4 linked regions of the Drosophila melanogaster genome follow. The protein of the gene in region 1 interacts with the protein of each later gene in a pairwise test. Each region holds a gene or a part of one and is shown in the gene's direction. Other genes may lie near its edges.

What was found.
Region 2: the proteins of CG42853 (region 1) and CG15211 interact in a two-hybrid assay, tested with the Drosophila melanogaster proteins (one large-scale study listed by BioGRID).
Region 3: the proteins of CG42853 (region 1) and CG10311 interact in a two-hybrid assay, tested with the Drosophila melanogaster proteins (one large-scale study listed by BioGRID).
Region 4: the proteins of CG42853 (region 1) and CG5532 interact in a two-hybrid assay, tested with the Drosophila melanogaster proteins (one large-scale study listed by BioGRID).

What each region holds. Positions count from the first base shown.
Region 1 is NT_037436.4:18,119,453-18,125,059, reverse strand, and holds CG42853 (uncharacterized protein), read left to right. Parts: upstream 1-3,070; 5' UTR 3,071-3,132; coding exon 3,133-3,625; intron 3,626-3,682; coding exon 3,683-4,044; 3' UTR 4,045-4,128; downstream 4,129-5,607. Other genes in the region: CG7341 (uncharacterized protein), read right to left, coding at 4,170-5,243.
Region 2 is NC_004354.4:10,769,564-10,779,282, forward strand, and holds CG15211 (uncharacterized protein), read left to right. Parts: upstream 1-2,977; 5' UTR 2,978-3,063; intron 3,064-3,204; exon of another isoform or gene 3,205-3,234; 5' UTR 3,235-3,435; coding exon 3,436-3,603; intron 3,604-8,397; coding exon 8,398-8,565; intron 8,566-8,647; coding exon 8,648-8,845; 3' UTR 8,846-9,418; downstream 9,419-9,719. Other genes in the region: BTBD9 (BTB (POZ) domain containing 9), read left to right, coding at 1-423, 492-938, 1,000-1,509; Ant2 (adenine nucleotide translocase 2), read right to left, coding at 9,658-9,719.
Region 3 is NT_033777.3:16,349,693-16,359,705, reverse strand, and holds CG10311 (uncharacterized protein), read left to right. Parts: upstream 1-2,690; 5' UTR 2,691-2,906; intron 2,907-7,346; 5' UTR 7,347-7,374; coding exon 7,375-7,617; intron 7,618-7,674; coding exon 7,675-7,828; intron 7,829-8,475; coding exon 8,476-8,576; 3' UTR 8,577-8,920; downstream 8,921-10,013. Other genes in the region: CG42446 (uncharacterized protein), read left to right, coding at 1-8, 63-82; CG17931 (uncharacterized protein), read left to right, coding at 565-571, 918-1,023, 1,095-1,164; Manf (mesencephalic astrocyte-derived neurotrophic factor), read right to left, coding at 9,123-9,289, 9,679-9,820, 9,907-10,013.
Region 4 is NT_033778.4:23,749,897-23,754,882, forward strand, and holds CG5532 (uncharacterized protein), read left to right. Parts: upstream 1-2,857; 5' UTR 2,858-2,933; coding exon 2,934-3,009; intron 3,010-3,068; coding exon 3,069-3,331; 3' UTR 3,332-3,619; downstream 3,620-4,986. Other genes in the region: CG12491 (uncharacterized protein), read left to right, coding at 789-1,262; CG11300 (uncharacterized protein), read left to right, coding at 2,053-2,526.

The sequences.
Region 1 (5,607 bases):
ATAACACAAAAGACATCCTGCAAAAATGCACAAACAAAAACGAAAATAAAGAAATGCGGCGAAAGATATTCCTGCCTGCTGCTTTTCCTGGCAAGGAGCTGTCCTGATTGCTTTTCGCCACTCGCCCGTGACGAAAACAAAAGAGGCCGCTGTCTTTTCCCCTATCGAAATGGCGGAAAAGCTCCGAACGGAAAAAATACGAATTGCCTGCATAAAAATATCTTGAGTATTTGCTAGTCTGCAATTAAATGAGGGCTCGCTTCTCCGTTTCACGAGCTTAGCAATAATAATTACAGTTTGGATGAGTTCGGGGGGTTATTATTGCTGAAGTGTTGCAGGGGCTAAAGTTCTTCTGATTCCGCTGAGTATGGATGATATGGGGGTTTTCGTAAGGAGATATCAAGTCAGCACTCAGAACTGCCAGTACGAAGAACATAAAGACCGTATTAAATTGACAAAAAATGCAAAAAAGAAAATTAGGTATCAGCTTGTAAAAATCGCTTGAATAAATAACGAAAAATATGAAATAGAAAGGTGTTAGTGCTTAAATTACAGAGAAAAAACACTCTACTGCAAAATGTGATTTATTTTTAACATTATTCAAATTAAAGAGGACTTGCTTTTTAGCTAAAATAGTCGAGAGAGAAGTCCAAGGATATAAATTTAACTAATACACCACAATGGAAGCAACTTACATTGCAATGCGATGTGACCCCCGAAACGGGCAGATTCGGGGGGCCAACAACCCCCTCTCGAAATGTTCCGCAATAATGGAGCTGGATTTGGCCAAGTCGAATTACAGTTACAGTTAAGGTAACGGCAACGCATAGCAATGTACATAAAATGACACTGAGTGTCAGTTTCAATTAAACATGTTGACAGCTGTAAGGACACGGCCGGAACTCAGGGGCAAGCCCAAATATTCACTGGCCCCCATCTCACAGAGATACGATTGTCTATGTCTGGGATGGATTTCTGGCCCTTGGCCATTTCGATTTTAATACAAGAAATTCCTGACATTGTCGCCTGGCCATAAAGAAGTCGAAGGGAATGCGTCGAAGGAGCCGAACTCGTATGACAACTTTATCGGGCCGAAAGAAGAATATTTGCTGAGATTTTCAGGTGGTTTTTAGACGTTGACCTTGTCTTATGTCCCTTATGACACTACCCTAAGAAATCTGGTCTGGTCACATCTGTGAACCAATTTACTATTCCCCTTTCTTGACCTTTTAAAAAAACAATTGGAGAATCTTATAAAAAGAGCACAAAACGGTGTGATAAATATGTTGGCTATAATATTTATATATTTAAAAAATCTAAAAATAAAGTATATAAAGTAAATAAAGTGCCGTGCCCTAGCGACCTTTTACATTTTAGGCATTTGCATGGAAATGGCCATCATTTTGTGACAGGAGCCAAAGAAACTCAATGCAGTTTTAAGTAATTTTATGTGTATTTGTTTTAATTTACATTCAAAATGAACGATAAGATTTTCTGGCCAATTTTCTGCCTTGTCCTCTGCATCTTGATGCATTGACAACTTGTCAAACATTCTAATATCCTGTACAGCTTGTGATGTGAGCATTATGGGGGAATTTGGTTTAATTAAACTGCATTCATACATGTGCAAATACATCGATTTTGCTGTTTGCATATTAATTCCAGTAATTCTAAATGAAGACGGCAGAAATTACGAGGATTTCTCAAGTAATCTCAAATGGGTGATGAACAAATGTCTATTACAAATGGGAATAGTTGGACTGTTAAACAGGATTAATATATTGGAAATATTTGTTTTACGACAAACTGAAAGGTTTTCATTTTATATTCATCATATTTTGTTGAATCTACTATTTTCTTTTAAAGTTTTTTATATATAACATATACTACTGTTATTAAGTGGACCCTTTAGCAATTGCGAGCGATCAAAAGCTTTTGAACGATTGATTTAAATTATTCCGATTTTAGTATTCTTTTCTCTACCCTCCCCAAAAGTCATTTATTTTCTGAATCTTGAGGGTGGAAAGTTAAACCACTCGATGTCATTTTGACGCCAGTGACTTTTTCCCGTATTTGCCCAAAATATTAGCGTAATGCCTTTGACAAATCAATTGGCAAGCGATTGACTTGGCAGACAGAAGGCTGAGTGTCATTAACCACACCCTCAATGGGCGTTGGTCACACCTCGTGCCAAAATTATTTGCCCAGGATGCTCCAAGAATTGGAATAAAAGACCTTGTTGACGGTGCGGATCAAACGCGAACGAAGCTGTGACAAAGAGATCTTGAAAAGCGTTCTGTTTGACTTAACAATCGTTCAAGTAAGGGATCAAGTAGAAAATATACGACCAGTAATTCTTAATTTTCAAAAACATAAATTGCCTATGGTTAGAGAAATAGGTACAAAAGCAGAAGCTAAAATGAATTTATTATCACCGATTACAGAAATAGAATATGAAGTTAAATATCTTGCGATAGAAAGGATAGCTCAAACTCAATCAAATTATGTATCTGCGAAAACCCATTTACAACCCCAAGCAAAGACAAAGCAATTTATGAATAATTTGCATAATTCATGTAAAAGGATATTTTTAAACAGATGACACGAATTGGCAACAGGTGCTTTTGGCGGTTAAATGTTGGGATCTTTCTTGTATCGGTGGTACTTGACATGCATCTCGTATTATATAGCATATAGATGTATATAAATATATATATTTATATACGAGCTCCTCAACTGGCAGCTACTCAGTTAGTGGTGGTAATTTCAATAATTTCCACATTATAATTTAATAATGTGTGGATGTGAAACAAGCTGCATGCTTAATTTAAACTTTTCAGCTTTAATAGTTCACAGACTCTCGACGTTTATACGGACGGACAGACTGACACAGCCATAAGTATATATTGTACATACATATAGACTAGCCCATCAATCCTGATCAAGAATATAAAGAATCCATCTGAAAGGTAAACCTTTCAACAAATCTAGTACTCTACGCGTGATGGGTATAGAAAACAAATATAATCTAGTATTCGAATAGTTTACTGTCGTTGCAATCGTATCCAAGTTTTTGTAATTTGTATATCTTCTCAGTACTAAAGGTCTTAAAAACTCAAAAAAAAAAAAAATATGGCCACAAGCGCGAACTCTGTTCAAGTTTCTGGAGCCGGTGCGGAGGTAAACGAAGCTAAACTCATCTGCATCTGGGAGGGAATAACTGAGCTGATCCTGTGGCGCAACTGGATAAAGTCGATGCTTGTATTCGTAATGCTACAGACCATAATTTATGATCTGCTTTCTGAACCGCTTGTGTTCGTGGTGAGCGTATGGGCTTTGATTATCATGGTCATATCAATGGGGTACCGTTTTTTGGTACAGTACACTAATACCCATATCCAGAACAACAGCTATCCGAAATATCTTGACATAGACCTAAGAATCTCCCAGGAGTTATCTAAGCAACTGGGTGTTCTAGTTTCAACCAAAGTTGTTGCGTTTCTAAATAATCTACGAGAGATATTACTAGTAAAGAGCTTTTCGAAATCATTCAAGTGGTTTGGCCTTCTCCTAATAATTAGCAAACTTGGAAAGCAGATTAACTTTCTAATTGTTGGCCAATTAGGTAAGTCTATCATTAATAAATAATGAAAGAAAATAACAAAATTCATTCAAATATCAGGGCTGTTTCTACTCTTCACAATTCCCAAAATGTGTGAGATGAATAGACGTTCATCAAATATTGTACAACTTCCTAAATTTAATAAACAATATCAAATTACCAAAGTAAACGCTTCGACCGAAACCCAGAATGCATTGGACATGGAATCCTTAAAAGAGTGCAACGAGGACACCATAAAGCTAATTGAAAAGCAACCAGAAGGGATGGATCTCTCACTCGGCTGTGATATTACCAAGGAATCCCAGAATGCGGCTGATGATCTTAAAGCCTTTAAAGTAAAGGAGGAAATAGACATTGATGCTTTTGAGCGACTTGCCGATTCCTGGTCCGACGAAGATACACTTACTGATCAAAAAAATTAATTCAAGACAATTCAAATAATTTATTTTTATATATTGTGAAGCGTTTGGATAAATAAAACTCCTAGGGGCACTGTGCGGAACAACAGCTACACGACTTGCTTATTCTAATAGGGAGATACTTTAACCTAATTCGAACTACTGCTTTCGTCGCCATCGTTCACAAATTCAAAGGCCCTTCTGGACCGGAAAGCGTGATAGGGTCCTTGCTTCGGCTGTCCTGCTTGAAATTCACTCCTAATCCTTGAGACCACTGCACCACTCTGCGGTGAATAGTTTGCCTTGAAGATCTTTAGGAATGACGGAATGGGAGGCACAATGCCATCCGTATGAAACTGAACAATCCCCTGGATGTGTTGAGGTCGCAAGAGGCTGCATAGCTGCCGAAGATGCATCCTGGTCGGAGTCGGTGTCCACTTTAGTTCCTTTAGATCCAAGGAAACTACCTTTTGATAGTGATTAAAGTCCGTCGGGCAACCGCTGACGAAAACCCTTGGTACATAATTTTCCTCCAGAAAACGCTCCAGATCGATGCTAAGGCACTCATAGCTTTTTGCAATGTGGTCGCCCAAATGAATATGCCCGCGAAGACTTGTGTGTGCCAATCTCCATAACATTTCCTCGTAGCCAAATTTTGGCACTTTCAGGTGCACCATACTCTGGTCATTTCTTGCTCCGAGATCCTCGATGAAATGTGCCATCTCATCAAAATCAATATGATCAAACGGCAAATTTACAGAGGACAGATTCAGATACAGCTGCTCGGTTCCCTGGGCGATCCAAGAGTTGAAGACAGAGTTGCCCAGTAGACGACCAAGATTATCCAGCCTCATAGCCGAGTAGCAGTACAGCAATCTGTTACCCTGCTGCCGCCGGATAAGCAGAATGAGGCTGTGTCCCAGATGACTTCCAGAGCATAGCATCCCTTCCAACCGTTTTCCGTCTTTCAGAAGCAGTGCGAAGGGCTGGCCCTCCTCCACCACAAGGAAGTCCTGTTCCGAAACGTTCGCTTTGCGGGATTGCAGATACTGAAACAGCTGGGTGGCCAGTGGCCGAGTGGTGTACATCCGACAGAATCGGCGTGGCAATAGTTTCAGCTGCTCATCCACATCGCACAAGCTGGTTAGAAACACCTTGGAATGGGCATCGTAGAGCTTGGGAATCACGTCGAAGTGCAGATCAGGGTGATCCTTGGGTCGCATTTTGCTGAAGGCAATTCAAAAATACACTGCAAGTAAAGTATTTTACTAAATTAGAAACAATACTTAATGAAACTGATAAAAAAATTAATTAATATTTTTCCATTTTTCTATATTCAATTAATACTTATCTGCAAAAATAGGTTAGGTGTAATACTTGTTTTTATAAATATAAGTAAATATCTACTAATGAAATATATTCGGGTTGTAAACTTGTTGTTTTTCGCGTTGTAACTTCCTTGTAATAAATTTTTAGGAACTTTGCGAGATCCACACTACTTATATTACCCAGACATGACGAAGTGAATTGAGGTTGAGGGAAAATGACAACTGCACTATGAATAATTTTTGTTACCCATTTTGAGAG
Region 2 (9,719 bases), on another chromosome or scaffold:
GAGCGCAGCACTTCAAAGGCGCTGCCCTACAGGGCGGCGCTCTGGCCGGAGGAAAACGTGGCCGCGGAGACGTTTTTGTCGCGCTGCATCCAGGGAGAGTGTCGCGACGCGCTGCTGGATGGAGATGTGACCACCTATGACATGGAGAACGGGTATACGCGCCACTGCATTACGGACAGCAAAGATGCGGGCATTGTGGTCGAATTGGGCACGTTCTGCATGATCAATCACATTCGCATGCTGCTCTGGGACAGAGACAGCCGGGCGTACTCCTACTACGTTGAGGTGTCCGGCGACCAGCAGCATTGGGATCGCGTGGTCGACTACAGCGACTACCACTGCCGCTCCTGGCAATACTTATACTTCGAAGCACGACCCGTCAGATTCATTCGACTGGTGGGCACCCAGAACACTGTAAACCGGGTAAGTCAGCAGTGATCTCTTCAAACTTTCCCCATTCTTTAACTTTTTCCCTTTCCATTAATATATAGGTATTCCATGTTGTGGGTCTGGAAGCCATGCACACGGCCAAGGTGCCGCGTTTAGTTAACCATTTTGTGGCGCCCAAGACGAACGTGGCCACCGTAGAGATGAGCGCCATTGTGACGGACGGCGTGAGTCGCACCCGCAACGCGCTTATCAACGGCGATTATGTGCGCTACGACTGGGACTCGGGATATACTTGCCACCAATTGGGCAGCGGCGAGATCGTCGTCCGTTTGGGCCAACCCTACTATTTGGGCTCAATGAGGCTGTTGCTGTGGGACTGCGATGATCGCACCTACAGCTTCTACATCGAAATTTCGACGAACCGCAAGGAATGGCAAATGGTCGTGGACCGCCGCAACGACAGGACCCGCTCCTGGCAGAACTTTCACTTTACTCCGCGTCCAGTGGTCTATATCCGCATTGTGGGCACACGCAACACAGCGAATGAGGTACGTAGCAGTGCAGCGCCACAAAACATGTCCGATAAGCTAATGCTCTCCTTGCTCTTAGATCTTCCACTGCGTCCACCTCGAATGTCCGACCCAGGACAAAAACTACTTAAAGAAGATAGCCGACATGGAGAAGGAGCGCGAGAAGAGGGAGAAGGAGAAGAAGACGGCCAAGACTGACGATGACAATATTGCCTCTACCTCGGGATCCTCGTTGGCTTCAGGCCATGCTGAAAGTCCCTCCACTTCCTCCAGCAGCAGCCAAAGCGTTTTAAGGTCCATCCACTGGCCGCCACAGACAAGGGAAGTGGCCGTTGCCCCACTCACTCCGCCAGCACTCTCCCCGCCCGGCACGCCAGCACTTCCGGCTCCTCTGACCCCGGCAACCTCGTCGCCGCATAACAACCATGAACAAAATCAGCCAAGTAATATCAGTGCAGACGCAAGCCACCACACCAGTCCAAGTTCAAGGAGCAACCCCAGTCCCAGCCTAAGTAGGAGCAGAAGCCAGAGTGCGGAGTTGGAGCCAGTGCCGCCATTGGTTGAGCTTGACACCAGGGAGACGCTCTGAGCTGATCGCCGCTGCGGCCGATAATGTTTTGTACTTGAAATACTCCTGTGGTCTGTTAGCTGTTAGTCTCCGCGCTTAGTTATATTTTGCAGACCGTGCTGCTCTTGTTATCTAGTCCTTCCCAGTGCCCCAATGCTTGGTGGTTCCAAAACCTGTGCATTGCATATTGGTTTTGCGTTATTACCTTCGTTATATACTATATGTATATACATATATATATATATAGATATATGTTTTTATAATTTTATTGTGATCCAAAAATAATTCCTTATGTTTGCAAGGCAGCAGAGTTATTTATATAAGCAATATAACTGAATTCTATGCACACACACACCCACCCACACACACACCACACACACACACCACACACACACACACATGTTTAACGCGAACTCGAATGCGATTTCCGAGCAGCTGAACCAAAATTGTATACGATATCCGATCGCATAGTATAAATCTGTACTGTCTAGCCTTATGTCCGGTCCATGTCCTTGTCCAAATCAATCCATTTGATCCGCAACTCGTAGTCTTTAGGCTCATCGAGCGGCCCAAAAATTAGGCTCTATTTATTAGGCAAATTTTGTCATAGTTTGTATTGCACGCAAATAAAAGCTAACCAAAAAAATGAAAACACCGCTTATTGTTTCACTTGCAAACCAATCGGTTTCTTATAAAATTTTTAAAGTCCCTCACACATTTCAACCACGAATTGTGCCGTGTGTGACCACTGTGCACCACACATGCCACCCACTGTTGCCCCAACATCCACAACACGCTCCACTGTTTTGAAATTCCGATCAGAGGCGACCCACGGCCGTGCTGCAGCGGCAGCCATAAAAGTCGAATCAGAACGTTAAACCAGTTGCGACGCACAGTGGGCGTTGGGAAGAGAGAGAGGGACGCCGATCCAGCGAGCGAATCAGAAAGAGATGGCGAAATGCAGTGCTAGCCAAACGGGAATTTGTGGGTTCTTGAAGAAAACTAAAAAAAAAAGAAAATATTACTCATACGCCGCGTTGTCTACATGATTTAATAATATATATTGCATATTTTGTACGGATGGTTTTAATAAAATGTAAATGTTTTATTGAGAAATCTAGACAACTGTATTTATTTAATAGTTTTACTTTTATTTTGGAATGAACACAATCACACAATACGGTCAATCTGGCCCACTGTGCCGATTATAACAGTTAGCGGCGCAGGCGCAACAAACTAGTTTGCCCCACAAGCAGCGGGGAGTGGCAACTAAGGGGGGTGGGGGGTGGTTCTATTTAGGGCGTTGCAGGGGCGTCGTCAAAGGGCGCGCGCAACTAAATAGCCAACTGACTAACTAACTAACTGGGAGAGCGCGAATGTGAGTGTAAGTCCGAGTGGGAGTGGGAGAGCGAGCGTGAGTGCGCTAGTGTGGAGCGGAGCGGCGTGCGGTTAACCGTTAGCCTGCAGCGGCGGCAAGTTCAGCTCGCAGTTCAGTTCAGTCGACCAGCGGCCGCCGTGGACAAAGCAACGTAACGCCAAAGCAATCGCAGCGCAGCTCATGGATATATAGCTACAGTTAACTACCAGATACTAAACTACACACATTTCACCACATACCCAAATATACCCACCACACGCGGCATATATCTCTATATATATATTTGAGAATTAGAGGCGTGGGGGTTTAGGGGGTGGGGTGGTAACTCGCGCGAGGGCGTCACACGCGTTCATATACATCAGATATAGATATATAGGGTAGCTGCCGATCGACCAGCGAACATATAGAAAGCGGTGGTTATTTTTCTCATCTTATTTTATTGTGACAAAAATCGCGACAAGTGTTTAAAAATAGTTGTTGTGCCCAGCTAATAAAGTAAACTTGCCCGCCAAACTGAAACTGAAACTGAAACTGAAACTAAGCCAAGCCAAACTATAAACAGCAACAATATGGTCGAGACCGTTGTCAATATCGAGCGCACAACAACAACAACGACGAACGGACCGCCAGGTGGAGCGAACCCGACCGTTGGCAGCGGTGGCGGCTTCTGGAGCGCCATTCGCCTCAACATCGACTATTTCCGCACCATACCGGGCATCATCAAAATTGTGGAGTTTGTGAGTACATACAACTAGCTGAGATATATCACTACTATATTTTTATAATTCATTATAAAACAAATGAAAATCTAATACTTAATATTGCAACATATGATATTTCGAAACTATTGAATACGATCCACTTGAGTAGAAGTCTTTTAAAAACTGAAACCAAAAACTGGGCCAAATTTCCAAACATATCAAAATTATGTACATTACATGTTTCTAAACTCTTAGATTTAAAATATGCATAAATGTCGGTTTAAATAGAACTTAGGAATGCGATTATGTTGAAAAAGTACCATAATGTACATACATTATTTTGTGGAATGCTAAATTCAGACATAAGTTTCCGAATTTGGCTGTTATCGTATTTCCTCGAAACTGATAGAGCCTTCGAAACATAAAGTTTCAGAGGGAAATATTAAAATATACGTTGGATAATTGTTGTAGAGAAAAGTTAGAATTCCTCATAGCACTCTTATCGTCATAAATTGAACGGTTTTATCTAGAGTTTGCCTTCCGCCACCATTCTTTATCGAGATATCTCGAGACTTAAGAAACCCTAGAGCCTCGATGTGTACTCAATTACACAAATATGTATACAATATGCCCGACAACAAGTGTGTTGTGCACTTGCCCCTTTTGTGTGTACATATGTCAGGATCTCATTAGACTTACGACGGATAAGATAGGGGTAGACAAGTTGTAGGAACTGCAAACATGTGAGCTCCATGGCCATGTGGTCAACTCATAGCCCTCTTCTTGTATTCCACAGACGTTAAACACTTAACGCATTTGGCCTGGTATTCGAAGCTATGTATGATCTATCTTTTTTCCCACAAATCCGCAGCAAAATGAAGTTAAAGTGTGGGCGATGCAATCGGTATGCGACGCCAACACAAGGTACTCGCAATTATATGAGTGGGCACTGGGGTAACTCAACTACCGCTCGGATGGATCACCTGCTCAGGTGTAGAAAGTTTTCAGGCAAAAATTTCTCTATTCTCAATGGGCCAACGCTTGGTGGGCACAAGGTCAAGGGATAACGACAAGTGCTTGGGACCCACATGAAAAATGCATTATTAAGCGCTCGTCAGTTGTTACGGAGAAAATCAATAGCGGATAAATGGGAGGAGTGCTGGGTGCTTCGATGATATGATTACCGTCACAATAAGCTGTCGTTTATTAACTTATATATATTGATTTTCTGTTCTGAAAATCGGCTATTATCAGGCGACTAAGCTAGTTTAGCTGACGGCTGACGAAGTAATTTGCGGATGTTCTGGTAGGACTTATTTCCAATTCATATACTAATCTGACCAAAAAAGGAAAGCAAATACTTGTCATTCAAATATGCTTTGATTTCACCAATGGCTAGTTAATTTTCTTTTTCGGTTAGCGGTGTGCCTGTCGATTGGGATATTTTTGTGGCAACTAATCTTATCGGTACCCTTAAGCGATAGTCTGCTGATAGTCGTCTCAGCGCAGTGTGAAATATGTAAAAGTGCTCCACTTGAGAGTTGCCACAAAAACAGGGCCGTAATTGCAGCTGCTCGTTTCCCAAATGCCAATTGATAGGTATTAAGCCCGTTAAATAAATAATTCAAATTGGGCCAAATGGCGGGAAACTTGACCACTTTCATGGCTATCTATTTTAAGACTTTTGTTTCTTGAGCTTAACTAAATTATATTAGATTATTGGTACTATAGTTCGAATTTGACTGCAGTTTTGACTGTTTTCACCGATTGTGACTCATTTCGAACAATTCTGCGAATATATTGAGTGCCATAGCTAATCGCTCGTTACTCATACGCACCGTTATCCGAACAAAGTGGACGATAATGTGGCGACCACCTGTTTGCGAGCGGAGAGGAGCAGACCGACGATATTTTCGGTAGCCATGCTCCTGCTGATAAGCCAATCGATTCCTGACACCTGACTGCCGATCGTTAATTTGCCCACGGACCATTACACATACTCATCCGCCCAGTGGTCCCAAATCATACCAACAACAACAACAACAACAACAAAGCCCCCGAAATATAACGCTTCTTTCGTATCTTATCGTTGGCAATTAGCATTTTGGACCCAGCATTGCCTCAATTTACTTACCATACATATTCACGCGATGCCCCAAGCATATATGCATTCCATGGCCAAGTGTGCTCTATATACATATATACGTACATACACATCGGAATATCTACGAGTATATGCAAATTCGGAAAGAGAACGATTTATTATTAAGTTTTGTTGGTCGCGGTCCCTGCCGTTCGAGAATATTTTTTTTATAATAGCCTAATTACGTAAGACGTGTATTTTGGAAGCTGCCGACGGCATTCTTATTGTTTGGCATTGTAGCATTGTCGTGGATTTTAATTTTAATACGAATGTTTTAGCCAAAAGCGGAAATTATGACACAAATACGGGGTGTCATTCAAGAAATTGTTAACCACAAAAATGCGGGGGAGGCGAAGAGATCTGGGGAATTCGAGCCGAAAGTCACTTTAGACAGATGCTGGCGTTTGTTGGCGGTTTGTTGATGAAAATGCGATCGATCGTTGTGGCATCATGTACAGTGCATGCCATAAACGTAGGCTGTTTGGCTTGTAGCCGAAAGCAGTTAACTTAAACTATCGGAAATATAAATTGTATATTGCTACTATCTTATGGGCGCACTTTTTCTGAAACCTCAAATCTTATCCCTTTTCAGTTATAAGTTTCAGTTAGCGTCTTGCCTTACAGCTGCGAAACGGACTGCACTAAGTGCACATGGCTATGCAAATACGTGTGTGTTTGCAAACTGTGTGCTTGGGTACATTTTAGGTAATTGACGCTGACTAAGTGTACGGCGCTCAGGAAAGTGAGCTCATCTTTGAAGCTCCGTCTTGGCCCTGTTAACAGATTGTTAGCCAACAAAAGGGAGGGCATACATATGTATGTATACAATTCAAGGGCATTGATCCTTCTATTAGATAATCCAGTTATGGTTGTCCATTAACTTCGAACTATATATATATTTGTACCACCACAATTGGAATATTTGTTAAACATTGCGAGGATATTAGCTTACAGGTATTGTTTAAACTTTAAGCTTTCGAAGAAAGAACATTATTTATACATATGTAGTTGGAAGTTTGTAATCTAACGATCTTGTTGTTTATGTGCGACCACTAGAATTTCTGTGGCTTCCATTGAACTTCAGACGAGGCAGACGCGGCTAGGAACCGTAGACCGTATAATCGGAGGCCAAGAACTCGATCCATTTCAGTGGCGTTTCGCGTCATTGAATTTCGCTCGAAAAGTAAATAATTATGTTGCTGCCCCGATCGATATACCCAGATGCACCCAACTCTCTACGCAGTTTTTCATGCTCCACAAGGCAATTTGATCGTTGCCATGGAACTAAAGATTATGGTTATATGTATATGGTTATAAGAACTTTCCAACCGTGCACATAAGAACTGATTAACACATACAAATGTGTATATATATGCCAATCTTGTCGTTATATATACCTTATGTATGCATACGCAGAAGTAAAAATAAAAATAAAAAGCCCGCCATAAATTATGCTTAGAAAAGATAAAATTCGTATAATTCCCAGACGAATTTCTCTCTGGCTCTTTTATTTTTGAAAAGTGACGCACAACATTTGTGGATCACAAGTGCGAGGCTAAAAAAAAAAGTATATAAGTCAAATGAAGAATACGAACACCATTTGGAAAATGCATGAATCCAAGATCCAAGATCAACAAATCTCAACAAATCGCTGACAGTTCAATCAACCTTTGATATGCGGCTGCTGTGCAGTTAATTGTTTACCAGATAGCAAATAAGAAACACACACAAAAAAAAAAACAAAGGGGACAACAACAAGATGTTGCTATCAACAGGTCGCTTTTGGCCTGGGCTACAACTTTCAGCTTTCACTTTTCGTGTACCTTTTGTTTTAGCCAAAAACACAATGCTCAAGTCGACTGACTGCGCACACCTGTTTGATTTCTTATTTTGTTGCTGTGTCGCCAAAAGCTTATTGCCATTTAATTGCCTAAAACAACCACGAATGTGTGTCATCATCGGCACCTGTCATCCAGCTTTATGATCTTAGTGTTCCTAACTCACGAAATCGCCCTGCGAATTTGCTTGAAATGCGATAAGGTTCTCGAAAATGACTTACAGATAGTTCAGTATACATATATTAACAAGTTATTGGTAATATATACTGAGTCATTCATAGATACGGGATACTGTTACCTCAGTTTGTTTGAAATATGACATAAACTTAAGTTAAGTTGAGTAAAATGGAGTACCTAATTGTTTCTGAGCCATTTTACTACAAGCACATTTCCAAATAAATCTGAGCTACATATGTATCTATGTACATATGTATCTATGTATCTGTGCAGTGGCATTCTTTGAATTCACCGCTTAATTAGCTGGAGAACAAGGCGACATTCTGAGCACAGCCTCTAATTTTTCATGGCGTGCATTCAATTGAAGGTGACATCACGACATGCTCACTCCAGATTCGAAATCACGACCTTGAAGAGGCGCCTCTCAATTGGAGGAAGATCACGATCTGGGTGACTATACATATATGTATTACAACTAATAATATAAGATGCTATGCAATCTATACATCTCAAATATGCATTCAACTTTACCCTAAATAGACATTGCATAAAACTGCACAATTACGATTTAATGCGACAGATGGCGCTTGAATCTTAAAACTACTCGTATATTATTGCTTCTACTGCGACCTTGTACACTTACACATTTACCCATCTTTTTATACACACCAGGTGCTGGGCATCATCTGCATGGCCCTGGCAGCTCCTCCACTGGCCTCGGCCACCTCGTTCTTCATGTTCGTCATCGTCATCTCGTTCATCATCAACATTCTGCTGATCGCCGCCTATTTCCTGGGCATTCGCGAGGCCCTCAACGTGGCCGTCAACTGGATATTCTCGGTGAGTGACAAATGGCAACTAACTGCTCTGGATCATTAGTATGAACTAACCCACCCAACTGCTACTTTGTTTTGCCCAACAGGAGCTGATCACCACCGCTGTGCTGACGCTGCTGTACTTCATCGGATTCATCGTCCAGCTGGCCAGATGGTCGGATGCCACGGGCAAGGGTTCCGGTTCGAATACCGCCGCCGGTGTCTTTGGACTCTTCAATTTCCTGGCCTACGCGGCGGGCACGTACTTCCTGTTCCTGGCCCACAGGTCCGGGGCTACCCACTAAGTGCAGCCAACTCAGTGACTGGATCTTAGTCTAGAGTTATTTCTAATTGTTTACAGAATAAGTGCAGATCGAGTACTTGTAATTTTGCCTCTTTTTTTTGTACTTTTGTTTTTTGTTGTTAATTAACGTATGCAGCAGATTGACAATGGAAAGCGACATGGCTTTCTGTTTTTAATGTTATTTTTATTTAAATGGCTAACTAACGTTTAAGTCTTAAATCCACCCGCACAAGACCATATCTACGAAAACGAGTAGGGTGGGCAGCCCATATAGTACATAACCTTTTATCATTTCATGGCGTACATATAATGATTTTGTAATTTTTTTGAAATGTATTCAATCGAGACAAAATAATATACGTAAATTAATTAAATTTTTTTTGTTTGTCCTTCACATATAGTTGAATATAACGACTAGCTTAGCTTGTTGAGAGGATAATTAGATCCTAGTTAGATGTGGCCCACCCTAATCCGTACACACACATGCACCAAAAAGCAAAAAACACGCGATGATGAAAACAAACAAAGAGCGCACAACAAAGATTTGAGTTCAATATATTATTTGTATTTTCTCAACCACTGCGAAAGTGAACACAATCTGAAATGAGGGACCGACCACCATGTGGGGCGACCTATCAAATCAAATTATTAATTTACTACTGGGCTCGTGGGAGCAAGTCCTCCTCGACGAAGAGGTGGACAGTGTGTTCGGTTGGTGCTACGCCATCGTGGTGTGACATTTGCTGTGGCCGGGGCTGCTGCTGCTGCTGCTGGCGATCGAATTGGCCCACCACAAACGGCGGCACACTGGGGCTAAAAGTACTTCTTCATCTCGTCGTAAAGGGCGAGAACCAGAGCACCGCCCGTGCCGCGAA
Region 3 (10,013 bases), on another chromosome or scaffold:
CAAACGAGGTCAGTTGGCAATGGATAGATTTATTTAAAATCAATAAGATTTGTTTTTATTAGACTCTATGTACAACTTTTGATTGCTGCCTGGATTACTACTGTAGTGTAATAAATCTCAAACTTCAATATATAATTATATATATTTATAAATTTGGTGAAAATTGTCGATCTCGGACGGTTGGATATTATATTCATTTAAAATTTGTCATGGTAAGCATGCATAAAATTGTACAAAACACATCACACTAGCTTAAATCTACTTTCAATGAAATTATATTTTAAATATCAACCGAAGTCCCGGGAAATATACCAGCTGTGCTCATTTTGAGCACACCAGTGCTGCCCATCGATTACCACGCGTTAGTGCCTGTGCGCATCTAACGCGTTAGTGTCTTCCAACTTTTGACACATCGTTCAATAAAAACAAATCAACTTCGAATGCTCGAAAAGCAGCAGGAATATTTAATATAACGCTAAACAACTTAAATTTACTACTCTCAAAAGTAGAAGTGTATCAAAATTGTAGCTATTTTCAGTCGAGAACCAAGAAGGAGCCTTAAAAATGACACGTAAGTAAGGGCATCATGAAGCCATTTTGTTAATACTGCACAATGTATTAAATGTGCATGTAGATCCACATACATATGTATATCTATCTATTCGTCTAAATAACAAATTAACTAGGATTACCTCCAGTGTCATGCAAAATCGTAATCTCCAAAATATGATAAGAGAATTAGAATTTCGACCCGAAAGTAATCCTGGGTTTTCGCGTATAGAGCAGGCAAAAATCGATGGACAAGCAGAGGACATGTGAACGCCTCTAACCTCTCATAGATTATGTAGATCACATTTAGCACGCGCCACTAACCAGCTGCCACGTATTAACCAATTATAATATCACCAATTTAATAGGCGGCAACCAACGAGACCTGGCCCGCCAGAAGAACCAGAAGAAGCAGGCGGATTTGACCAAGGGAAAGCGAACCGATAACCTCACCGTGGAGCAAAGGAAGGCCAGGTGAGTGATTTACATTTTCAATGTATAATGTATAAGATATAATATTATTAATAAACCAACCCATAACGCAGGGACGCTGAGTTAATGCGGGAGAAGCAGAAAAAAAAGGAAGAGGCCGCTGCGGCGGGCACAAGCAAATAGTCAACCCACTGGCTTGATAGAGATCTGGACTCCCGGTTGCATTTCCGGACAGGTTAGGCTTATAGTCAGTCGTTCGTCAGCCAAGACCCCGATTCGCCCAAGGACCTAGGATAGTTGGTTAGAATGTACATGAAGCAACATACATAATTCACGAGAATTGTATACAACTACGCATAGATATTACCGGGCTGTACAGCACGCGACATAGCAATAGCAATAGCAAGTGCCACCCAAGGACTTCGATTCTGTTCCGGTTTTTGTTCATTTTCGTTTGCAGTGCTGCTGTACGATAATTAAGTAATCTTACATTTTATTTCTCCACCTACCTGACTAAATTATTTACTGTAATGTATATATATAAATTTTCAAATAAAACATAATATGCAGCCGACAGAAAGACTCAATTATGTGTTATTGTGTTTGACGAAAATATATATATAGATTATGGCACTCGATAACGGTCGATTGCTACCGAAAATTAACTTTAACTAATGAATCCCTTTTCTAGCAAATATGGTCGCCGAAGAGAGAGATATAAAGATTGATAATCCCAGAGCAATCCCCATAAGTATAGCTCAAGAATGTTAAATATAAGCCTTAGATCTTTAAAATCGGAGTATGAATAGGGCGCTGGATACGACCTACTAAACTTCCTGGTCTGATTTAAGCATGACCTAATGAGGTATTTAATTTGCCTCGAGTCATGCTGAAATTTGCATACAATGGAATATGGATATTTGTAAATGGCACGATTTGATAAATATGAAAGTAGCTGCATGCCAAAGCTTGCCCCACAAAACTATCGCCTAGATGCCAATAAGTCGATTGCTAGCATTTACCTTTTACAGAATAAATGACCAAAAACCTGGCCACTAACGACTGGCAGATGCACACAAAAAACATGCTGCTAAATAAAATTTCAGTTTTAGTTTAATTTTATTTTATTTATGTATAAGAAAAGATATCAAGAAACAACAACGAATTTTGCGCAAGACTGGTAAACTAAGTCATTGAAACTTAAATACTGTGACTTTTATCTTTTGGAATACCTATCTGTTTTCGAATAGATCTTCATACATTGTGCCACAGTGCACGGTCTTATTCATGGCCAATAAAGGCAGATGGGGTCATGGCGTGCTGATGTATCTTCGGCTGAAATCTCGAGTTCCTTCAACGAGGAAAACAACACGGATGTAATGAGAACGTCCACTGATTTGTTTGACTTGGCTAGTGCAATGCGCTGTAGAAGATCGCCTCACCATTGTTTGACCAAGTGCTTGATATCTTCATGCCGGAACAGCAGAGCAACGTGGGCCATCGAAACGCCTAACTGGTTTCTGCTGTTTCTGCCTCGGAGAAAGCTTCTTGCCGGTCACGCAAAAGCTGTCTTAACTAAAAACAGCGTCCAAGTTTTGAGAACTTTTCAGCCAGCTAGCCGAGAACGAGCGGAAAAATCAACTAACGCTCGCAGATGTGAAAAATCGCGATCGCGAGTCGGCTCTCACGTTGGCGGCAGCAGCCCGCGTTTTCAGTCGCTCCGTGAAACCCGTCGCACTCACATCGAAATCGCGCGCAAGTCGTCGGATCCAAATCGCCTCGAAACGCTACGCACTTGGAGGAGGCAAATATCAAATATATGAGAATAATTAGTTAGGAGGCAGCCGAATCAGCGGAATCAAATCGATTTCCCTCGACTGCATTTAGCAGTGCTGCACCATCAAATCAAAAATAAATTAGAAAGTGTAAGTGAATATATGGCTGGCTGCCAGGAGACTGACATTATCAGCGGAGAAATGCAGGCAGTTGGCAGCCGATTGGGCGGATCGGGAGATCAATCGATCGCCGTCGCATGCAAATCGAGTGATAAACGATCGCCTCGAAATTGAAATAACAGGCGAGCAGCTGGCCCCCGGAGGTGGATACATATGCATATGTGTGATCAAACAGAAGTGTTTCTCGGGGAAGGGCGGCGTGAGGAGTGGGAGGAGTAGGTAGCCCCCAGTAGCCATATACTCATATACCTATCTATACTATACAGCCAGTTACCCGACTTGAGGCGCGCTCGTCTGCCTTGCGGTTGTATGTGCTTATTTATACAAAATATATTCAATTTCATTAAGCTGTCGCTGCTGGCTGGCCGTCCAGTAATTTCAATATTCAAATGATCGCTGATAGCTAAACCCCCTGACTTTTTTACTTTTCTGAGCGCCCGCAAAAGCTGCGGTAAAATTGAGAAAACCGCAGCGTATAAATAATTGGAAAACAATAATGCCACTGTTTGATCGCTGACCCAAATTGGCAGAGAAAATGAATGCATCTTAATGAAAACAGAGTCAGTCTGTTTGCTGCAGGCATAGCGATCTATATAGTCGATGCACTCGGTGATGTCAGAATTGCGAACTGACATTGAAAGTCTGCGAACGGCGACAACCTGAAAGCCTTCTTCTTTGCCTTTTTGGGGACCTCAAGTTGAACACGTTGCGAGTTTAGGGATAAGTGGGCCATCCAGCCCAGTGTTCAGGTGTGCGGGGGCGTATACGTAATATGCGCGCCTGGCATACATTTCAACTGAGCCACATTTTGGCTATTCGCCTCAGTCGCGAACCATAAAAATCACATCAAAGCCCCAAATGAAAGCGTCGTTCATTGAATCTTAAGTGGCCACTCCTCCTGGGAAGTAATTATAAAGGGAAATAAACGGTCTTCAAGACAAAACTGTTTCTAATCCATCCACATTTGGCAAAGTTCAGTGACGCGCATCCACTTGGAAGCAGTGAAAAATGAACAATGTGAAGGTTACTCAATTTACAAGGCAACAGATAACGCCACCAAATTTTATTTGACAAAAAATATTCTGGCAGAACAAGCCAAGGCGTTCGCACACCTACGCCATACGAGATGGCACATGGGCGTAGAATTCTCGACGAACAGGTGTTGAAAATCATAAGGTGGAGTCCCATTCCTGACCCCAGACAGCCACTGATCAGAGATTGTGAGAGCTGTTCCAAAAGTTCCACCGCTTTTGTCGACTCTCTAGATTTCTAGTTGCTCGCGACCTTGTGATCTATTAATAAGTGTTTCGTGTTTTTATATATGAATCATTTTGATGGGCGATCTGTTTATGAGTTAACTTTCGTTTGGCTGGGAAAACGAAAAGCCCAAAATCCGAAAGATCCCCGAAAATTGAGTTTTTGATCGCGTCCAATGTCGCGGCTTCATTGACCCTGAAAACTATGTAGTGTCGACAGAACGAAAAGTATCTCATGGATGCGCGCACATTTGTATCTTGCGTCTAAAAGACGCCGCTGCCACTAGTAATTACAAAATCTTGTTCGGCAAACGGAAACTTCAAAGGCTGCAATTGAGTTTGCAGCTGCAACGGTTTTAATTGATTTATATGGCAAGTCGAGTAATGTTTAAAAAGCCGCGGAAAAAAGCCAATTTGACAAAAAATCAAAGACAAAAAGTCAAGTGGGAGCTGGAATAGCAGAAATAAAAAAAACAAAAAAAAAACAAAAATGCGGCGTGCTTTGGACCTGTCAAATTTGGTAGAACGATTTCTACCGGTTTCAAATGGACCTAAATAAATGAAAAAAAAAAACAGACCCGGCCACTCAAGTGAGCTCCCACTTTCTGTCGAAGATTGTAGATTGAGCAATTTCCAGCCACATACAAAATGACTTTGTCTTTTCGATAACTTTTGTGCCTGGCGCAAAAAGTAGCGCAGAAAAATGTCAAACTTAATTACGCGTTGAAGCGCAAACTAATTGCCGAGTGGATTTGCGGGCTTCAGCGGGCAGCAGGGTCACAAAAGTTCGAATGGCGATAAAGTCGACAACAGCCAAAGCCGAGAATAATTGGCTTTGGCTCCGTTTTGCGGCCCACGACAACAGATAATAGCCGCACACAAAAAAGTATCTGTCAGATATACATATTTAAAAGCTGGACACGTGCTCATTGCACACGAAAATTAGCATTTACTTGTGGATCGAACCCATTTTCCACAAGCATAAAGGCAATGGCAATTGAAATGATTTATATGAGCATTATTTCACTTCGCTTTACTAGACAAATGGGTCAGCTTATGGTTAATGGGATACGATAAATGATTACTTGTGTTTTTATAATTTGAATTTTATTGTAAATACTTGTAGTTAAAATAATTTGTATTATAAATTTTTATTGAAAGTTATTATCTCATATAAAGTAATAACAATAATTACAATATGACTACGTTCTGAGACCATTCTACTATTTCGTGGTCTGACCCACAAATTTTGCAGCCTGCGGTAAATGTTTTTTGTTTTCCTTTTCTTGGCTTGCATTTTCTAAAGCCACTTTCTAAAATAAATATAAAATATTGATGTATTCCATGAAAAACGTCAAAAATTCATGCTTGAGTAAGTGCATTCCCAATGCCTTTTAATTTGTTTGTCGACAAACTTTACCTTTCACAAAACCGGCAGCATCCGCCACACTTTTACTCCCACACCATCACACTTCAGACCCAAAGCAACTCCATCCAGCTACGTAGTGCACGTCCAACTGCCCAGTTGCACTTGTCAAGTCAGAAGACTTTCCAAGACTCCAAGCCTACGTCAAGTGGAGGCACGAATTCCTCGGAAAGAGTCGCCCACGCCATGGCTTGAACTTGACTCCAAAAGCTGCGAGTCACGCCTATATATACATATAGTAAAACCACTTTGTGTGAGGCGAGCGGAAGTCAACGTCAGCATTAGATGAGTTCATTGCGAATATTAACGCCATTAAACGAATGAGTGGGCTGATCGCTTCCATATCGAGGTTGTCTACCCCTTTCCACTGATATGGAGAAGTCTCTAATTGTTCGCCGAGGTCTAAAGTATCTTAGCTTTACTTGGGTTTGTTCTTCTAACCAGGTCAAAACAGCGATATCGCATTGCCGCAGAAAGTAACCCAAGACGTTTGTCTGAGTTGTAGAAACCAGACAAATGCTTTCTGCTCGGATCTGTATCCAATTGAGGTACCATTTATAAACAGACGCAAACGTGGAGATCGTCTGAGTTAAAAACCCGTGCGAAACGCGTGTAAACGGCATGTTAATGCGCCATATGTCCGGTTTATGAGCCCCGCCGCCAGTTTGTGACGAAACTATAAAAAAAAGTTTTTGAACTGCTATAATTTAAAGAATGTGATGTGATCTTCGGCACGCACCCTCACCGCCGCCCCTGATAATTGCGCAATTTGTATAACACTTCTGTTGCCCAGATTGTTCGCATCTCTTCACTGTGTTGTTGTAGGTCGTTTGAGGTGTGAAACTCAGCGGAAATGGGCTTTACATACAAATGGTATCTGTAAATGTATCTGTATCTGTTCGCTAAACTTTAGTTGTTTGCCCAAGGCATTTCCCAGCCAGCCTTTCTATAATGACTCAAAGCGTTTCCATGTAAGACAAGATATTTTGGCATGTGATTATCTCATCCAAGACCGCCGTGAGCCACATGTATACATCAGATATATCACATGGATACACAAGTGCCCGCATCCAATGGATGCAAACCAGCTGCAGCGGCATTTGCAAGTGCCAACATGCGCCACATCAATCTGCAGCCGGTCCGAGGCACGTTGAGCGTTTGATTAATTTAATGACAATGCCCGGTGGCGCTATTTCGCTATCTGGATAGATGGGTGCAACCCACATATGTATACTCGTACCAGTTCCGCCGATCGTGTGCGCATGCACCGATGATATAAACTTTCCCAAGCTCGCCATCTCTACTGCCATTCCAGCTCGAATCCCTGAAGGAATAGTACGATTAAATTAGTCATTCGTGTCGTTGATTTATTTTAGAGCTTCCATAAATATAAAGCTTACGTCTTTCAAGTATTTCACGCTTTCTGTCCATTGTTTTCTTTGTTTCTTCTATTTTTAAAGCACATTTGTTTAATAAACATTTATTTTTTTTGTGTGCTTGACGTCACAACTGGTAAAACTGTGGAATTTTAATGTTGTAGTATTGGTTGTCTTTACTTTTGCAATAGTTCGGATATTTCAATTAAGTTACAAAACATATCTTTGTCTAGTTTTACATGAGTATATCGAGAACTTACTCACTATTCTATTGCTGTGTTTTTATTCTTTTAAGTTATATGTGTTCAAAATGGTACTTGAAATTGATGATTGTGTTTCTTAATATTTTCAGCTGGTAATCACAATATAGATTTGCCAAAATGCCGAAGCCACTGTTAAATTCGTGCTGTCTGTGCCAATCGACCCGGAATGGCTCCGTTATCTCGGGCATACTGGCGATAGTCCTGTCGATCATCACCATCGTGGTGATCTTCACGACGCGGGTGCACTTCAAGACGATAATCTTTGACTTCATCCCCAATGACATTGTTAAGATAATTCTAGTCATCAATTTGTGCATGACGATCTTGATATCGCTGCTCATGATCATTGGTGCCCTGAAGGTGTGTACTCAGCTAATTTAATTAAATGCATACAATAAAAATCTATCTATGTTCCAGCGGAACCACTACCTGATGGTTCCATGGGTGGTCCTCGGCATTATGATTGCCATCGGTCTGCTGATCTCCGTCATCTACACGGGCATCGTCTTCTTCATCGACGGCTACGTGCTGACGGGAGTCCTCTGGCTGATCTTCGGCCTAATTGTCTGCGGTAAGTGCACTCCCTCTTGGTTGGTGAAAAATGGGTGAGGGGGGGGGGGGGGTCTTGCTACTTCTCCATGTGCGGTTTTTAGCACCGGATGACGGTTATTGCGAGCCGTTTTTAATTTATAGACGCATTTATCATGCCATGATTGCCCGTGTGCTGAAAACAGAAGTGCCCCGGCGCCGCAGACTAGAGGATTTTGGAGGTAACTTGCCGGGTGGTGCAAGCAAATGAGGCGCAAAGTGGCTTGTTGAGGCCATTTGTAGAAATGTCAGCTGCAGAACTTTGATAGGAGTTTATTGGGAAAGCTATACGATTGTTAAATAAGCTCATTAAATGAATCAAACAAATTTAATTGTATTAATTCAGCGGTATAAAAGTTAAAGAACCGAATCACATTGTGAATGCTTCAGGTTTATACATATATTCCTCGCTTTTTTTTTACTTTTGAAAAATGATATTTTTCAAGTTTTACAAATTTGCATATTAAATTTGATAAAAATTAAGTGCTTACCGAAAATGAACCACATACGAGTTAAAAGTCAATTTACATTACATCGTGTAAAATCGGATGCAATTCATGTAGAATATAAAATGACAGCACTCTTTTGCGCGCACATGCCCTAACCCAATGTTCCTCCTCCATCTTTCAGCGATTATGACCTATTGCTGGTGCGTGGTCTATAGTGAATACGCCAACCTGTCCGAGGAGAACGAGCGCGGTCGTTACAACAAGCAGCCGTACCGTCGCTAGAATCTCCAGGAGCACTATTCATCAGAAATTGCATTCAAGAAGCTGAATCCACCACCCACACATCTTCATCCTAGCTTCCTATGTTCGTTTTTAGTGATTATGTCTAACTAATAATTATAATTTAGTTGAGGCGAGCCAGCCCTTCGCTCACATCGAATTTACGCGGCCCGTGGCATTAAGTGCAATGGAATTATGTATTTAACATTTAAATAAAACTTTAATCCAGATATTATGTGAATTTCTGTTGTAATTTGTACGTAATACTTGTAATTGTGAAAGAGGAGTTCAAAAACCGAAAACTAATAACAAAAATAAAAACAAACTATTTATCAACCGTTTGAGAGGACGAGGTCTTGTGTGTTTGTTGTTTTTTATTTCAAAATATAGGTTTTATCTTTAGGCATATATAGTTATATTCAATTCTCTCAAAGTCTATCAAAATTGTAAATTAACTAAAAATATGGATGTGTAGGGGGCGTTTCATGTGGTTGTTGTTTTAGCTAAGTGGGCGTGTTCCATGTAACTACACAAGTAACTGACTGCGCTCTACAGCTCGCTGCGCGAGTACTTGGGCTTCAGCTCCTCGATACGCTTGATGAAGTCGCCCTTCTCCAGGCAACCGTCACAGCTCTCGTCCCAGTCGTTGAGGATTTTCTTCAGGTCGCGTACCTTCAGCTTCTTCAGGTCCACGCTGTTCAGATCGATTTGTTTCTCTGCAATGAACAATCCACATAAATAAATGTTTATAGAAGTATATTAAGGCGAAGAGCAGCGACAGAAAAGCTAAATGTTAAGCCAAGTTAAGAGTTTTTGTTTCTAATAGACACCCTAGATTAATTGACTCTTAGTAAATGACGATTAACGTTTTCTAATAATCTAAACCATTAACATTCATTTTACAAACAGACCTATCTCATAAAATGTAGAATTTTATGCGAGTTACCACAAAATAATTTAACAAGCTATGATATAATAGTAAAGCATACATGCGAAATTGTATTCCTGAATTCTTTCCTTTTGCCAAGAAATGCTAGGTGCTTCATATTGAATTCTGTATACCCACACTTCCTATATATGTATAGTTCCTAACTAAAATATTTACCATAGCGAAGGTCGCAGATTTGTGCGTCCTTCTTCTTCAGCTTCTCGCAGATCTTCTCAGCTGGCATGGACCAACTGAGGGGTTTGCTCAGCTCGTTGAGGATGCCCGTGGCGGATTCTTCCAGACCGCCGAGGTAGTAACACTACGAAGAAACGCATACGTGTATCATTTTTCCCAGAGAATAGGAAGTGAGGGAGAGGGGGCGGCACTTGTTTGCCGGCTACTCACGAATCTGTGTTCCTTGTTTTTCTGCGCTTTGCAGAACTTTTTGAAGGCCGTTTCGATCTGTTTGTAGTCCTTCTTGGTGGAGTCGTCCAGCGAATCTGCGAACCGCC
Region 4 (4,986 bases), on another chromosome or scaffold:
ATCCAGATCTGTGTCTGCTATTTATACGATCTATCTGGAGGGGTTTGGTCCAAAATCTCAATCCGTGGGTGGTTTACATCTTAGCATCTGGCACGTGGCCCAGTGTTTTGCTGAAAACGTCTGGAAAGCTGGAAAGGTTATTGTTGGGAAGTTAAACATTGAAGCAGTTGTTGATTTTCTGAAACAATCTACGGCACAGGCACTAGACAAATATAGTTTTTGACTAAGAAGTGACTAAGCAAAAATAGGTAATTGGACTATTCTGAATAAAATAACTAAATACAATAGGAACAATCAGTTCGTAAGATAAGGAAGGGTAAAGTGGCCATTCTACCCAGAATCCTTCAAGTTGGCTTTCCTAAAATGAATACTACAATGCAAGCAGAGTCACTTCGTGTTCTCTTTTAAGCAGCATATTATTATTCAAAGAAAGATTTAATCATCAATAAATGTGATAGAGCACTTAATATTTGCTTAATATTAAATGTTCTTATATTAAACATCCTCTAAGTTAAGCACTTTCTTCTTGAGCCGTATTGGCACATCCACTAAAAATAACACTGCGCAAATAGAAGCTCCATTGCTGTTGTAGATTCGACAAACATAGGAACTTTCCACACCTTGTTCAACAAAACACTGCCGCAAATGCCACATGTTAAGATCAAACTAAGACGACGCACAGATTGAGATTTTGGACCAAACCCCTCCAGATAGATCGTATAAATAGCAGACACAGATCTGGATGCTGTATAGTACTTGAGTACAGTGTTCAACAGACAGAGCTTAAGATGAGACCCGAATTCGTCCTGGCCTTTGGTTTGGTTGTCCTCGTGGCGACCGTTTATGGTGGCACCGACTCATCCTCGAGCGACTCGTCCTCTTCCACATCACCCACTTCCAATTCATCGACTCCATCGACTTCCAGCTCAAGTTCGACACCCAGCTCTTCGTCCTCCACCTCAACTCCGTCCAGCAATAGCACTACGTCTACTTCGTCCTCCACTCCTAGCAGCTCTTCTTCCACTTCGCCCACTTCCTCCACCTCATCGACGACTGCCACAACCACGGCCCCCTCCACGTCCAGCGACACGTCCTCCTCCTCCACGAGCTCCGACAGCGAGGAGGTGGACAGGCTGAGGCGCAGGCTTCGCAGGCTCCGGCGGCTGAGGCGTCAGGAGAGGCGCCAGGAGATTCGCCGGGAGAGGCAGCAGGAAAGGCGCCAGCAGAGTCGTGCTGGAAGAAGGCGCCAACGTAGGGGATAAACCATCGGCTTAACCCGATCGAACAATGAAATGGTCCAAATTGAAAAATAAATGCATACACAAAAGCAACAATCGTAGTTATGACTTGGTAACTTGGCACCTTAAAAACAAGTGAAATCATTTGGATCGAATTGTTAGTCAAACAAAGAAATTCAATATTCGGTTTCATCTTGGAAAAGAAGAAGAAGGCTACACTATATACTCTAATGAAGAATCCTAAGTAAATCATTTTCCGATCTAGTTAGTTGATCAAGTGGAACTGGTCTAAGTGCAGACATAATTCCAGATGATAACTTAATCGATTAGGAACTTGCAAATGAAAGTGAAAAATAGGAGTTTGTTCTAAGTTTTCTTTTAGTGAGAATTCATTCTTTATGTACAATATGCCATCTTAATCTTTATTTAAGCTTAGAGGTTATTTAAATATGGCTTTCTGTTCAAAAGGCTTAACAATACATATTCATCTATTTAATAAACAATGTACCGTGTTTGCACACATGCTAACAATACGTTCAGCCAGCCAATCCAAAAAAAAACCGTTTTGTTTAATTACTAACGAATTAGAACTTTCCACAGCCATCAACAGCTTTCGCGCTTACAGAGAAGATAGTCTCGTCTTTTTATTGAGTTTAATCTATTTGTCTTGACGAGAACGTAAAATGTACTCTAAAACATTCAAAGCAAACACAGATTCGACAATTAAAGCGAATCAAGTGGATCATCCCTATAAATACTCGGATTTAAACCACTATCCACACAGTACTCCATTTAGTGACAAACTGAGCTGAAGATGCGTTGCCAATTCGTTATCGCCTTTGGGCTTTTGGCCCTAATAGCAACTGCCTACGCCGATTCTCCACCTGCGGCAGGATCCCCACCCGCGTCATCTCCACCGGCTGGAACCCCAACCTCGCCACCTCCAGCGACTGGAACACCGCCCTCACCATCCCCAGCGACTGGAACACCACCTTCAGCATCCCCAGCTGCTGGTACACCGACCTCGCCAACTCCAGCGACTGGAACACCGTCCTCGCCAGCTACTCCTGATGCGCCCGCTTCCTCGACATCACCAGCTACGCCCACATCGCCCAGTGACAGTGGATCCAGCAGCAGCCAGGAAGTGATTAGGCTCAGGCGTCGGCTGCGCCGGCTGAGGCGTCAGCTCCGCCGCGAGAGGCGTCAGGCCAACCAGAGTAATCAGAATGGAGGTGGTGGTCAGGGGCGAGTGGTTCGCCGTGTACACCGTCACCGTCGTCTATTGTAAAATTCACGAACATGTTGGCTACGAATTTGAAATAAAATTCCAGACAGAAATGCAATAAATCTAAAAAAAACATAAATGTATTGAATGGCTTTTTAAATTAGAGGAACCATCGCTCTTTTTGTAATGCATACATTAGTAAACTAACTTATATTTGCCCAACAAACTTTCTAAACATTGCAATGAATATTTCGAATAGAAGCGTTCTAAACATTGAAATAAATATTCTGATTAGGAAGTTCGTTGCACATATTTAATTCAAAATGACCGCGAAACGGTGCTGCCAGATGTCTGAATTTCGTGCACTGCGGAGCGGATCTTCTTTCTACTAAGGCAGGAAGGGTCATACTAACACCTCCACTTCTCACCAAAACAAAGGTTACCCCGAAATTTAATCAAAATAAATCGAAATGCCGGTGGATTGGTTCGGATATGTGTACGCAGCCACGGTCGCCGCCGGAGGAATCATGGGATACGCCAAGGCGGGTAAGTGACCAGCCCCCTGACCGTGGTCATGTCCGATTGTGCAACGCCCTGCATTCCAGGTTCCATTCCCTCGCTGGGTGCTGGTCTGGCCTTCGGAGCCCTGCTCGGCTATGGCGCCCACCTCAACTCCCAGGACACGCCTCGTCCCCTGCTCCAGTTGGGCACCTCCCTGTTCCTGGCCGGGCTGATGGGCGCCCGCTGGAACCGATCCGGAAAACTGATGCCCGCCGGAATGGTGTGCATGCTATCCGTGGCCGCCTTGGTCAAGAACCTGGCCACCTATAATCGCTACCTAATGCCCGCCGGCACAAAGGCCCCTTAGGCTAATTTCCGGCCACATGCTGGACTTGCCAGGAGATTGCCCTACCTTCATTCTTCATTCGTATTGAATAGGTTTTCTACTTTTCGGTGATTGGAACTTTGGTAATGCGCTGTGTCACTTTCTAAGATAGTGATTAGGAACTGTACTTGCTGCAAATATATTTTATCACCTATGCTTTTAACTTGTGGACTTCTTTGTACTCAATTGTAATACTTGGTCACATTTAATAGCATACTTTCAGGCACTTTGGTATGACAGTTCGCATAGAAGCACAGAAATACACCATTTCGTACATTCAAATCTTTTTTTGTATATTTATTGTTTAACTTAGCTTTTGTTTCTTTTGTGTGTGTGATAAATTTACAGTTTCATCTATTATACGATGTTCAGTTAACTACAACTAAAACTTAGCTATTACATTTTGTTGCTGCATGAAAAGAGCATTAGGCTAGGTAAACGTAGAGTGATGGATTTTTTTTTTTTTTTAGAATTTAGGCTTCTAACAAGTTTATTACAATAATGAAGTGAATAATTTGAGTTTTCTGCAGGCAAAGTGCGGCAAGGTAAGTATATTATCGATTCTCCACCTTTCTAGCATTTTCCCAACAGGAAACGATAAATATTTGTTAAGTAGAGTGTACAAATTATATATGTTTATCACATTGGAAAGTGGGATTATTATTAAATTTCCTTTCGATTGATTTGTGGCTCAAGAAATAATTTAGGTTGTCTGCCGAAAGTGCGTGCATGTGTAGATGAAGTTTTTACAGAATTATATGTACTATTTTACAAAATTGTTTGCATTTTGCATTAAATTAGATTACATAATATATGCGTGTACTGAACATAACAACATTGCTGGCTGCTGCGTTGCCCTCAGCAAACAGGCAATCATTTAAATTAGAATTAGCTGCGGCTAGAACTAACAACAAATCAATAGGGTTTCGTACAGAGTATAATAGTAATAAATTCTAGCTAAAAACACTTTAAGCTGCAAACACTTCTTCCAATTTCGATGGCAGTGACGTCTGCGTGCCAGTTCCAAACGTTCCCCCAATGCGGCTGCATTTTCACACTTTCACTAGAACGGAAACAGCTTCCAGTTAACCACTGCGGATGCCGGATGCGGAATGCGGTAACGAAACGGAAGCGAGGAAGAAAGAGAGAAAAACGCAGGAAATTAGTGATTGTGGTAGCATACAATTCTCGTGGGGCGTGCAAAAACAATGAGCTAATTTGGGAAGTTTTATTTCGTATGCATTAGATAAATATATATTTTTTGCAGACGCCGGCCATTTTGAATTGTGTGGGTGGTTGTGGTTGTGTGGTATGTGCGTGTGTTCCATTCCATGCGTTTCCACTTGCCAAATTACTCTGTTTCACTCTTGCCATTTTGCTGTCTTAGTTTTAGTATGCAGAATGCGTTCTTGATTCCATGCCACTCTTGTTGATCAAATAGAATACTTAATTGCTACAGTTAAAGATGTTCTGATGTAGTTTCGATCGGTTTTGCCTTCAAACAGTGTGTATGCGTGTGTGGTGGTGTGAGAGAAGGAGCGTGTGTGTTTGTATGCTGGTATGTGTGTGCATGTTTCAATGCCAATTTGGTTTCTAGTTCGATTTTATAGTTTTTTAATGTGTGGGGCGAGTGTTCG